3 linked regions of the Diceros bicornis minor genome follow. The protein of the gene in region 3 interacts with the protein of the main gene of each other region in a pairwise test. Links are inferred from orthologs where the notes say so. Each region holds a gene or a part of one and is shown on either strand. Other genes may lie near its edges.

Evidence for each region.
Region 1: the proteins of PNMA1 (region 3) and MAB21L2 interact in binary tests that used the Homo sapiens proteins (3 or more experiments, as listed by UniProt). The two-hybrid records come from large-scale screens. The link is inferred for Diceros bicornis minor from reciprocal best matches to the Homo sapiens genes PNMA1 and MAB21L2.
Region 2: the proteins of PNMA1 (region 3) and RTP5 interact in binary tests that used the Homo sapiens proteins (3 or more experiments, as listed by UniProt). The two-hybrid records come from large-scale screens. The link is inferred for Diceros bicornis minor from reciprocal best matches to the Homo sapiens genes PNMA1 and RTP5.

Annotation. Positions count from the first base shown.
Region 1 is NC_080750.1:39,056,498-39,060,244, reverse strand, and holds MAB21L2 (protein mab-21-like 2), read right to left. Parts: upstream 2,232-3,747; 5' UTR 1,675-2,231; coding exon 595-1,674; 3' UTR 21-594; downstream 1-20. UniProt on the Homo sapiens protein: Required for several aspects of embryonic development including normal development of the eye.
Region 2 is NC_080776.1:28,597,048-28,600,794, forward strand, and holds the start of RTP5 (receptor-transporting protein 5), read left to right. Parts: upstream 1-1,135; coding exon 1,136-1,287; intron 1,288-3,198; coding exon 3,199-3,747.
Region 3 is NC_080763.1:21,878,762-21,882,508, reverse strand, and holds the start of PNMA1 (paraneoplastic antigen Ma1), read left to right. Parts: upstream 1-1,300; 5' UTR 1,301-1,977; coding exon 1,978-3,039; 3' UTR 3,040-3,747.

The DNA.
Region 1 (3,747 bases), on a different chromosome or scaffold from region 3:
CAGGCAATTACAATGTAAAGTAATATTTTTATTACTGTTTTCAACAAGACTGCTTAGGGTGAGGGTAGAGGTGCGAGGGAGGGAGGGACACAGTCTGACATTGGCACTGAGATACACTTAACATCAGCAAAACTTTTTAAAAGAGAAATTTTACATATAATTAAATACTTTTTTTCACTTGGTGACAACATTCAGGCAACCCAAAATGAAATGAAAGAGAGGAGGAGAGAAGGAGAGGGAGAAAGGACAGAGGGAGAGAAGGAAAAAGGGAGAAACTACTATACATTGATTTGAAAATGTACCTTGGGTTTCATTTTGTGGTGGCAAAGCCCGATTGCTTCTTTTGTGTGACCTTTTAATTTCACATTGTTTGGAAGAAAACGATCACTTTTGTGCAAGAATCTGGTTGGTGGTTGGTTTGCTCTCTTTTTGTTTGCTTGTTAATTAACGAAGGTCTTCTGCCTGGTTCCTGTTTCAGGTGGCTTACATAAAAGTTTGTGTCCGGAGTTTCCACTCTGTCGCTGAGTTGTTGTGTTGTGTTGTGTATTTGAGAGCATTCCCGTTTGTGTCGCTTTTCAAGCAGTCCCCAGCACCCTATAGTTTGTCCAGGCTTTTGGGATTGGTGAGAATTTCCCTGGCCAACCTCCAGGTCTGCTTGGCAGCGCTCTCCAGGGCCGAATGGGGCTTGCCCTGAAAAAGGTCGAGGTTGGGCAGAAAGTAGTGAGGGCAGCGGCGGCACTGCAGGCAGGAGATGAGCTGCAGCAGGATGCCGTTGAGCCGATCGCCGAGGCACGCCTCGTCCCAGTCCGTTTCCCGCGGGTGTTTCTCGCATTCGTACAGTAGCAGCGTCTTCATGTGGTAGTTATTGAGCGGCTGGCCTGGCAGCTCCAGGTGGCGGTCCCGCAGCGTCTTCAGCACCGAGAGACACTTGTTTCGGCAGCCGCCCATTAGCAGGCGGTTCTCAGCCTCCCCGAACTGTAGCACCCAGGCGTCGCTCTCCGCAGAGCTCTGCTTGCCGGTCAGCGAGTAGCACTCCTTCGAGAGCAAGTTGAACCCTTCGGCCTTGACCTCCGCCACCCGATTGGGGCCAGGCCAGGGGATGTGGGGCATAGGCCACTGTGCCGCACTGCGAGGCCAGATACCCGTGCACTTGAACGCCGGAGTGATTTGCACCACGTAGCGCTCCCTGATGCGCAACTTGACCTCGCTGGTATCTGCGATCATCTTGACCACATCCCGATAGCTGCACTTGTCCACCGCCTGAGCCACCAGCGTCTGGAAACGTGAGCGGATCTTGCGCGCGGAGAGGTAGCCGGACGCTGTGATGAACTCGACCCAGAGAGACATGCTCCGCTTCCGCCCATCGCTCAGTTTGAGCACCGCGCAGCCGGGCAGCGAGCCGTCGTCCACGAAGTTGAAGACGCCCATCTGGTTTAGGTAGAGCACCACCTCGAATTCTGTGGGCGAGATGACCTCCAGCCCCTCGTAGCGGGCGTCGATCTCGCTCAAGGAGCTGATGAAGCGAGGCTCCTGCACCTCCACTTCCTTTAGCACGTCCGAGACCACCTTACAGACCTCTCGGATGGTCTTGGCGATGGCCGCCTTGCGCGCTTGGCAGCGCTCAGTGTAGTATTTATTGAGCTGGTAGACCAGCTTGGCCTGGGCGGCGATCATGTTGGGGCAAAGGTCCGGGCTATACACCGGCGTCTCGCAGTACGTTGAGGGATCCAAGGCTCACGCGCTGATGGTGGCCCTGCGGCTGGCGGACGAGGCGGTGCGCTCCCCCTAAGCCCCACTTTCACTCTTGTTTTCCACCTGGGCTGACCGGCTGATGCTACAGCCAGCCGGCTTGCTCTTTCTTTCCCCGCTTTCGAAACCGTTTTTTGTTCTCCAGAAAATAAGAGAAAAGGTGATCTTTGAAAAAGAAAAATATCTGCTGAGACTTTTTTTTGCTTTCTCTTGATATGTAAAATAAAGATGTGCGGGAGAGATGAAGGGGAAGGAGAAAAAAAGGGTGAGAGAAAAATTCAGGTTACGCTTAGATGTCTGCAGCCGAGATTGCCCAGAAATCTGGAAATTAGGTCTTTTAAGTGCCAAAGTAAATTTAAAAATAAAAGTGAAACATTCGATGTTTCATTCTTAAAACTTCTCTCCCACGCTGGTAGGACTTCTTCACTAAGCGTAGGTGAGTGCCTTTCTCCTCACCCTCCCCCAAATGGAAGGTGAAGGATGTAATTAATGTCCAGAGAGCAGCGAAGTGCAACTCAGTTCACCGCACACTCGGAGGTTTGCAGATGCCCCGCACTCTCAGCGTGTTGGTCTGGTTTCTGCTTAGGGGGTCGTGGTGTAGCAGTTTTCCTCTTTTCCTACTGGAGGCGTTGTTTGGACTGGGTTTGTTTGTTTGCAGTGGGTTCTTCTTGTCTTTCTCTAGGTGCAAACCGCTGGAAGTTGTTTGATATTCATTTCTGCTTCGTAATTTATAATTTTAGCCCTCACAAAATCTGTTTTAGTGTGACGAAGTCGTTGCTTGCGTTGCATCTGGGGTTTAGTTGTAACGATTCAAGGGTTTTTCCTCTCCTCCCCCTTTAGGTTGCTTGTGCAGATTCGACTTTCTGAGTCGTCTCTCCCACCTCCCCTCCGACGTCTCTCTCTTTCTCTCTCTCCTCCTAATCTCTCTCCCTTTCTCTTTCTCTCTCCCCCCTCCCTTCCCGTCTCTCCCTCCGTCTCCCTCCTTTACTCCCTCCCTTTCTCTCTTTCTCTTTCTCCCCCCTCTTCCACTTTCTCTCTCTCTCTTTCTCTGCCTTGCTGTTTCCTGGAGTTATTTAGTTTATGAATGGTCCAGTGCCATCATGAGGGGGGTGGAGCTTCAGTTCCTACAATCGCTATCCGAGCTGTCAGTGCTTTAGCCAATCCGAGAGAGAAGACAGGCATGCTTGGCAGACGGTAGCAGCCACCGCTGCACTTGATAAAGAAAGGGGGTAAAGAGAGAAGTAAGAAAATAGGAGGAGATAGTAGAAGTCAAATGCTCACACACATTTTACAGCCCCCTCTTCTTTATCCTCCTCTCTTATCAGTTGCAAGGAAGAAAAAGAGAGTCTATATAGAAGGGACTTCCTGGAGATGGCTGGAGTAACCGAGGGAGAGTAGCAGTGGTTCAGAAAGGTTCACTTTTTTTTTTTTTTCCTATCAACATGGTGAAGAAGGTGCAAACTCTAACAGAATTACTTTTGCTTGAAGGCAAATGGGAGGAGGAAGGTGAATTTGGGAAAGGACCTAAATTTTTCTAGATTTTCCCCTCTGGCAAAGTCTTCCTCCCTTCTCTTCCCATCCCCTCCCATTGTTGCCAAGAGCCAGAGCAATTGCTGTATACATGTATGGGGGGAGGGAGTGGTTATGGGGTGAGGGTTTATGACCATAAATCTCTTTTCAGTAATTTCCATATGCTGTTGAAAAACAGGGCAGGGCAGAAAGAGTGCAAGCACTTTGTTTGATAATTACTTCATAATTAACATTCAGATATATTTAATACTATTACCTTATTATTACAAGAACTAGTTATTAGAAAATATGTTTTAGTTGTGAGAAATGGTGCAAATTTGTATATGGTAAAATTTTGTTAGATATACCTTTAAATTATAGTAAGCCACTAAAATTGTTTTAAACTTAACAAAAATGAAGGGAGGTAAATGTGAACCTGAGTTAAAGTTTTCTTAAAATGTTAATGTAAATCTAATTTTGAATATATTC
Region 2 (3,747 bases), on a different chromosome or scaffold from region 3:
GTGGCCCTGGTCCCAAGGCCGCGTCCTCAGCGGTGGTCGTCCAAAGGCGCTCTCCGTTTGTCTCTCATCCGCGTGCTCTCACCCGGCGTCTTCCCCTCCTGGGCTGGCAGCCCTTCCCCCTCTGCCGTGGAACGTTGGCTGGCTCTCTCCTCAGTCCACCTTTTCCTCTCGCCCCCGACAAACTGCTGCTACAAGTGGCTTCACAAACAAGAAGGCGAGAAGGTGAGAGAAGCCAGCCGCACAGACACAGAATGCGTAACAGAGGGTTCCTTTTACAGGAAGCTCCAAGCAATAAAAGGAAACGACCGTGCGTGGGGACACACCTCGGGTGGTGGGGCTGGAAGGGGCCCCAGTGGGCGGGTGGTGCCTCCGCGGGAAGGGCGTGCTGAGCGCAGGGAGGGGCATGTGGAGGGCTTTGGGGGGCTGGATTCCTTCAGGTGCTGAACTAAGACTTCATGATAATTTGAGAAGCTGTGCATTATGTTTTAGGCATTTTTACATAAATGTTGTACACTTCTAGCCAATAAAAAGTTTGGAAAAAAATGGAAACCGTGGGAAAATTCACAGTGATACATGTTCAGTAAAGTTCCTCACGGCCGTGTTTGTAACGGCAAAGAATTAGCACCGTGCAGTTCAAGGACAGAGGCAGGGCCAGCAGGTTACGGCACAGCCGTAGACTGGACGATCCCGGATGTTCGAAGTGGTGAGGATAGCGCACTGCCCACGACACGCCGTGGAGCAAGAAACGCAGCTCTAGGACAAGTTGTTCCGAGGGTTTCCGGTTTGTGAAAAATGAATATGAACATTTACACATACACGTGCATAGAAAAACGCGTGGATGTCAGCACCACTGCGATGATTATGGGCGATTTTATTCTATTGTATTTTTTTCCTTTTTATTTATCTGTTTGTTTCTAATTTTTCCTAAAATGAAAACATATTGCTTGCGTAATAAAAAATATTCAGAAGGATAAGAAAAAAGGCCAGCTTCTCATTTCTCCGAGACAAGCCTGGTTGTCATGGAGACTGGATGGTTGTCAAGGCAGCGATTGGCCAGTGGAGCTGGTTGCAAGAGCTTCCTTGGAGCCGGGAGCTGGTGCAGCCCTCAGACCGCACTGCAGAGCCTGGCGCCAGCATGGACGGGGTGGACGTGTGGGCCAGCACCTTAGCCCAACTGATGACCAAGAGGAAACCCCAGGACACCTGGGAGCTGCTCCCTGAGGAGAACCTGGCCTCGGGGCACCTGGACAGCAGCGGTTTCCAGTACCGGCTGAGGGGGCTCTCGAGGTGCGGCTGTGGGGGTCCTCCTTGGGGTCCCAGGAGGGGAGGGGGCTGAAGGCTGCTTAAGCATTGGCCCTCGGTTGGCCCCGTGTCCTGAGGCCAGGCTAGGTGTGGCCCAGCACCTGGGGGGGTGGGATGCGGGCGAGTGTCTGGCCTGGGCTTGGCCCCAACAGGTGGGTTGGCGGGTGCTCCTTCTCCCTCCCAGGAAGTGGGGGTGTTGGAGGGACAGCGCCTGTTCAGTCCCTTTCAGCCCGGTGAGCTGAGACCCTGCCTGCGGTGCCGGCCACCGAGCTCAGCCTGGGCCCTGCCGCAGTTGGGGGGTGACGCGGCCGCCACCGCCACATCTTCTGGTTTCCATGGCAGCGCTGATGGGAGCAGGGGATGGGCAGGCGCCCGCGGTCACTGCCTGCCCTGCGCTGCACAGGGGCCTGAGGGACCGGGAAGCTGAGAGACACATGCAGGGAGCAGGCCCCGAGAGGAGGGGTAGCAGTCCCCGGCCTGGGCTGTGGGCGAGTGGGGGCCCAGCTCGGGGGCTCCGGTGGCCACGGGTCACTACGTGAGCCTCACTCTTCATCATCATGACGACAGCTGGCGTCATTGCAACGGGGACAGGCCTGACCTGCAGGAGCCACCCAGCCAGGCGTCCCCAGTCCCCGGGACCTGACTGGGGAAGGGGACCTCAAAGACAGGTCACTGTGGGGCCCCCGTGGGCAGCTGCCCTTTGACACGGATGCCACAGCTCCCAGCGTCCGAAACCCCGGGGGCCGGGTGTGCGGGGGAAGGCTGGCCTTCTCAGGTGATAGGAAGTGACAGTCCTCGGTGCATCAGAGAAGCACCTTCAAACACCTTACTGTTCCCACGGCCAAACTGAAGGACTCCACAGGGTCGAGATGAGGACCAGAAAGATTGTTCAGTTGGTTTTCAGTTTTCACCGATAGAAACGCCAGCCAGTGGATGGCCACGTACTACAGACCCACGTCCTCCAACACAGCAGCCGCTGGCCATACGCGGCCTGCCATGTGCTTGTGGATTAAATGTAAATACAGCTGGAAGTTCCCTTCCTCAGGGCACTCCCTGTGTCCAGGTGCTCCTTGCCACTTGTGGCTCCCGGCTGGGCGCAGACAGAACAATCCCACTGTCATGGAAAGTTCCCCCGACGCTGATCAGCTTCCCGGGGAAACGCTCCATGAAACCTCCAGGCATGCGGGTCCCCACACACGTGTGCAGGTGCCACAGTGATCACAAGCCTTGGAGAGAGGGCGCTCACCTGCGGGGCCTGGGACACGCACACCGTCATCCTCCAGGGACCGGCACGTGGCTCCTCTTCAGTGCGGGGAGGCGTGCGGCTCTCGCTCCCACGTGCAAAGTCAGCGTGACGGCACCCCAGCAGGGGGACTCTCCAGCCCTCACTGCTTCTCTGTCCCCCGAGACCTCCCCATCACCCAGTCTCGTGCGGCAGGGAGCCCCCGAATTTATCTCCCCGTCACCTTCTCTCCCTTGGGCAGGGCTCCTCTTTCCAGGGCCCCCACGTCCTCTCCGCAGCACCCCACCTGCTACTCCCCCCGACTGGTATCCACAGGCCTGCCTTTGCCTCTTCGTGACGTTTCCTCAGGGCGATTATGCCCCGAGTCACAAAAGAACAGAAAAGCAGCGGCTGCAGCAGCGAACACAGAGTGACCCCTCACGTGCGTCAGGCCAGGCTCTGCCACCGAGTGGGTTTTGTGCCAAACTGATGAAAAGGTGCTTGCTTTTCAGCTCTTCAGATTATGGGTTGCAGACACAGTGTGCGCCAGCATCTGTCCCTTTGCAGATGGGGGCTCGGGGTTATGGAACTCCACTGGGCCTCGCTCCTCGCCCTCCTGGGGAGCAGGAGGGCGGCCCCCTCCCCTCCGCTCACTGCCTCTCTCTCCTCTGCAGGCTCCAGTGTGGCCGCTGCCAGTGGGGCTGGTCCTCGGCCCACGTGCACATCCTCTTCCATATGTGGTGGGATGAGGACAGCCGGCTGGGGCTGGTGAAGATGCGCATCTGGGGCCAGCGGTGCCGGCTGTGCCCGCCGGGCGCCCAGCGGGACTGCCAGGTGAGCCTTCTGAACGTGCGGCTCTTCCTCAACAAGCTGGTCCTGTTCATCCTGCAGAAGTGCTACCGGGAGACCCTCAGCTCTGACCAGTGCCCTGAGATCTGCTTCAGTGAGCGCTGCGAGGCCTGCGACCTGGGGGTCTGCTTCTTCCAGAAGCCCCCGGACCCCGCTTGGGGGCCGGAGGTCAAGAGCCCCATCCCCATCAAGGGCAGGTATGCCTTGTACGGCAGCAGCTCGGCCGTCACTGCTGAGAAACAGTCACTGACGCTCCGCAGCAGCCCCTCGGGCGAGCGCTCCTGGGGCTACACCCCCAACTCCATCTGCACGCCCCTGTCCGTGTCTGACTTCATCAGGAACCCCTCCGAGAGCAGCAACTTCTTCAGCGAGGA
Region 3 (3,747 bases):
CCTCCCCATATTTTGCTGTGTTAATATTTGCCTCTAACTAACAATTTGCAGCTGTTTCACCTTTTCCTCATTTGTCTCTAAGTTGAAGGCCTTGTTGGAGGGGACAGCACAGGAACAGCCTTGACAGTCTGTAATTAGTGTACAAATATTTTAATAGCATATAAATAAGTATATTCCTTTTATTTTGAAAAAAATGATCAGACACTGCCTTTTGTGTGTTTGCTGCCTGTGGCACCCTTTTTTAAAGACTGTTACATATTAAAATAGTGTACATATATATAAATATTACCTCTTTTGCTGTACAGTTGTGATAGACCAGACTGAAGATTTTATTTTTTGTGTGCTTTTTATAAAAAAAAATTAATACACTAAAGAAAATCTTGCTGATGTGATTGTAATGTACCTATGTAACTTATTTACTTTTGAATGTTCTTCTGTATCTTTAAACCTTTTATTAAATAAGGTTTTAAAAATTCAGAGTTGAATGCTGTGTTCTTTGGGGAGATTTTCACCATCTGGGATTGATGTAGGTAGGCCTTGTTTTGCTTGCAGGGGATTACTCGACGTTTTTGAATTATAAGGATTCTGTTTTATTAGCCCATTGCCAATGATGCCAGGACAGAGGAAATAACACAGTAGCATCTGCCTGGCTGCAAAGATTACTGAATAGATACAGATCTTTTTATAAAATTTTAGACAAGAAAGTCTCAACTCAGTATCACACAAAAACATGTAAATGGCACACTTGCAACGTTTTCATTTCATTGGGATGAAATATGGAGGGTGCAGAGTGCGATCAGGTGGCACAGGGAAGCTGCGGTATTTTCACATGCCGCATTGACTGGCTGAATGAGTGACATGAGTAGACAAGTCTGCCTTGACGGATGCATTATCAACAATATCATCTTAAATCCACTCCAGAATTATATTATCTTTTAAACATGGTGCTTTGTAAAAAAAACTGGAAAATGAAAAACGAAATGCACCATCACAGAAACCAGTGCCCACAGCCGCTCGCTGGCACCATGGCAACCGCTCGACCCCTCCCCCCCACCCCCACCCCGCGGGCCGCCGCCAAGCGCAGAGCTCCAGTCGTCTGAGCCACCGTTGCCATGGCTACGCTCCGGCAGGCTCCGCCCCGGGGGCGGGGCGGGGCGGAAGCCGCTCAGGGGGCCGGCCCCGCCCTCCACTGCGGCAGTCCCGCCTCGGCTGGCCCCGGGTCTGACGAGTCCGTAGCCGAGCCGCGCCAGCCCGCGCGCACCGCCGCCCCTGTCCGCCTTCGCTTCCGCCACCTCTAGCCTTGCTTCTACGTCCTTCTCGCGCCTCCGCTGTGTCCTCGGTCCTCCGCGTCCTCGCCGCCCACAGGGGTTCCTGCACCCACGAAGAAGCCGCTCGCGGGCTGGCTCCGCGCCACCGCTGCACATCAGGACAGTCTCTCCCTCCGGAGGCGGCACAGTCCTCGCCTGCAAAGCCGCCGCTCCTCGCCCGCCTGAAAGCCCGGCTCCGACCGCGAACGCCTCATCGACTCCGGGAGCAGCAGCGAGTGCCCGGCGCCCCGGCTGCACAGAGGAGGCGGCCACGCCCCGCAACCACACCCCGGCGGCCTCTCCAGCCCCGCGCCTCCTGCCTTCGCCACCCACCCTCGCTCCGCGCCTTCTGCGCTGCGACACGACATCCTGCCTGCGGCCGGAGGACCCCGGCCGCGGACCCCGGCCAGAGACGCAAGATGGCGGCGGCTGAGTGACTGACTGACCGAGCATCCCCACGGCTTCGCTCCGAGAACGCGCCGACGCACTGGCTTTGGGGGGGCAGCGAGAGGACGAGAGCGGGACTCTGATGTCGTTTGTTGTGATTGCGTGAATCTTGCTTCCCGCGGGCATATTGGGGGAGAGTGTCTGCTGTTGTCCTAAGTCCTTGAGCAAGGGAGCCATAGTCGAATCCGTATTCCTAGCGTTAGGGTCCTTGATAGTTGGGAAAATGGCGGTGACACTGTTGGAAGACTGGTGCAGGGGAATGGATGTGAACTCCCAGAGAGCCCTGCTGGTCTGGGGGATCCCAGTGAACTGTGATGAGGCTGAAATCGAAGAGACCCTCCAGGCTGCGATGCCCCAGGTGCCCTATCGAGTGCTTGGGAGAATGTTCTGGAGGGAAGAGAATGCGAAAGCAGCCTTGTTAGAGCTCACTGGCGCTGTCGATTACGCCGCGATCCCCAGGGAGATGCCGGGTAAAGGAGGGGTCTGGAAAGTGGTCTTTAAGCCCCCGACTTCCGATGCTGAATTTTTAGAAAGGCTGCATCTCTTCCTAGCAAGAGAGGGGTGGACCGTGCAAGATGTTGCCCGTGTCCTTGGGTTTCAGAACCCCGCTCAGGCCCCAGGCCCAGATATGCCAGCGGAGATGCTGAATTATATTTTGGATAATGTTATTCAGCCTCTTGTTGAGTCCATATGGTACAAGAAGCTGACGCTGTTCTCAGGGAGGGACATCCCGGGGCCTGGGGAGGAAACCTTTGATCCTTGGCTGGAGCACACTAATGAGGTTATAGAGGAGTGGCAGGTGTCTGATGGCGAAAAGAGGCGGCGGTTGATGGAGAGTCTTAGAGGCCCCGCCGCTGATGTCATCCGCATCCTCAAGACTAACAATCCTGCGATAACCACCACCGAGTGCTTGAAGGCGCTTGAGCAGGTGTTTGGGAGCGTCGAGAGCTCTAGGGATGCGCAGGTCAGATTTCTGAACACTTACCAGAACCCGGGAGAAAAGTTATCTGCTTATGTCATTCGTCTGGAGCCTCTGCTGCAGAAGGTGGTGGAGAAGGGGGCCATAGATAAAGATAACGTGAACCAGGCCCGTCTGGAGCAGGTCATTGCCGGGGCCAACCACAGTGGGGCCATCCGAAGGCAGCTGTGGCTGACCGGGGCTGCGGAAGGGCCGGCCCCTAACCTCTTTCAGTTGCTGGTGCAGATCCGCGAGGAGGAGGCCAAGGAGGAGGAGGAGGAGGCTGAGGCCGCCCTCCTGCAGTTAGGCCTGGAGGGGCACTTCTGACTCCCAGGAAACCGGGTTTCAGTGCAGACCTGGATCACAGCTGCTTTCCTTGTCTCTGGGCTGTCTTACAGGTGTGTCTCTTAGTAGTAAAGACTCAGCCGTGTTCTGTTTTCTGGGGGGGAAGTCAGGTCTGCGTATTTATGTAACATTAGTAAAATTGTGCAAGCGAACACCCTGAGCTGCTACAAGTGAGTCATGCTAGCTATAATTCCAGGTAAAGGCTTGGACACAAGTGCTCAGTGCAAGCAGTCCTAGTAGCATCATCATCAGTTGTGAAAAACATGTGAACTTGTGACAGTTCCCATCGAGGTAATTAAATGTGAAATTGCATGTTCAGATGTTTAGCGTAGGGCCTGGCTAACACAAGAAGTGTTAAGTAAAAATGTGAACTGTTGTTACTAATATCGTGAATAGTTTTCGTGTTCACTGTAAATTGTTCCTGATTTATATTAATGGAAAGAAATGTGAATTAATTAGATATTATTCAACTTTATAGTGCAGATTTCTTATTTTTCATCTTTAAACATCTGAATCAGTTTGATTGAAAAGATTTCTGAGACTATAAAATGGGGTGTTAGAAAAATACTGCAATTATAGAGCTGTGTAAATCAGAATTTTTCACTGTTCAAGATACAGATATAAATTGCATGAACCAGTTACGGTATCCATTCCATTTCAAACCTTTGTCATTGAACAGTTCTCCTTGTT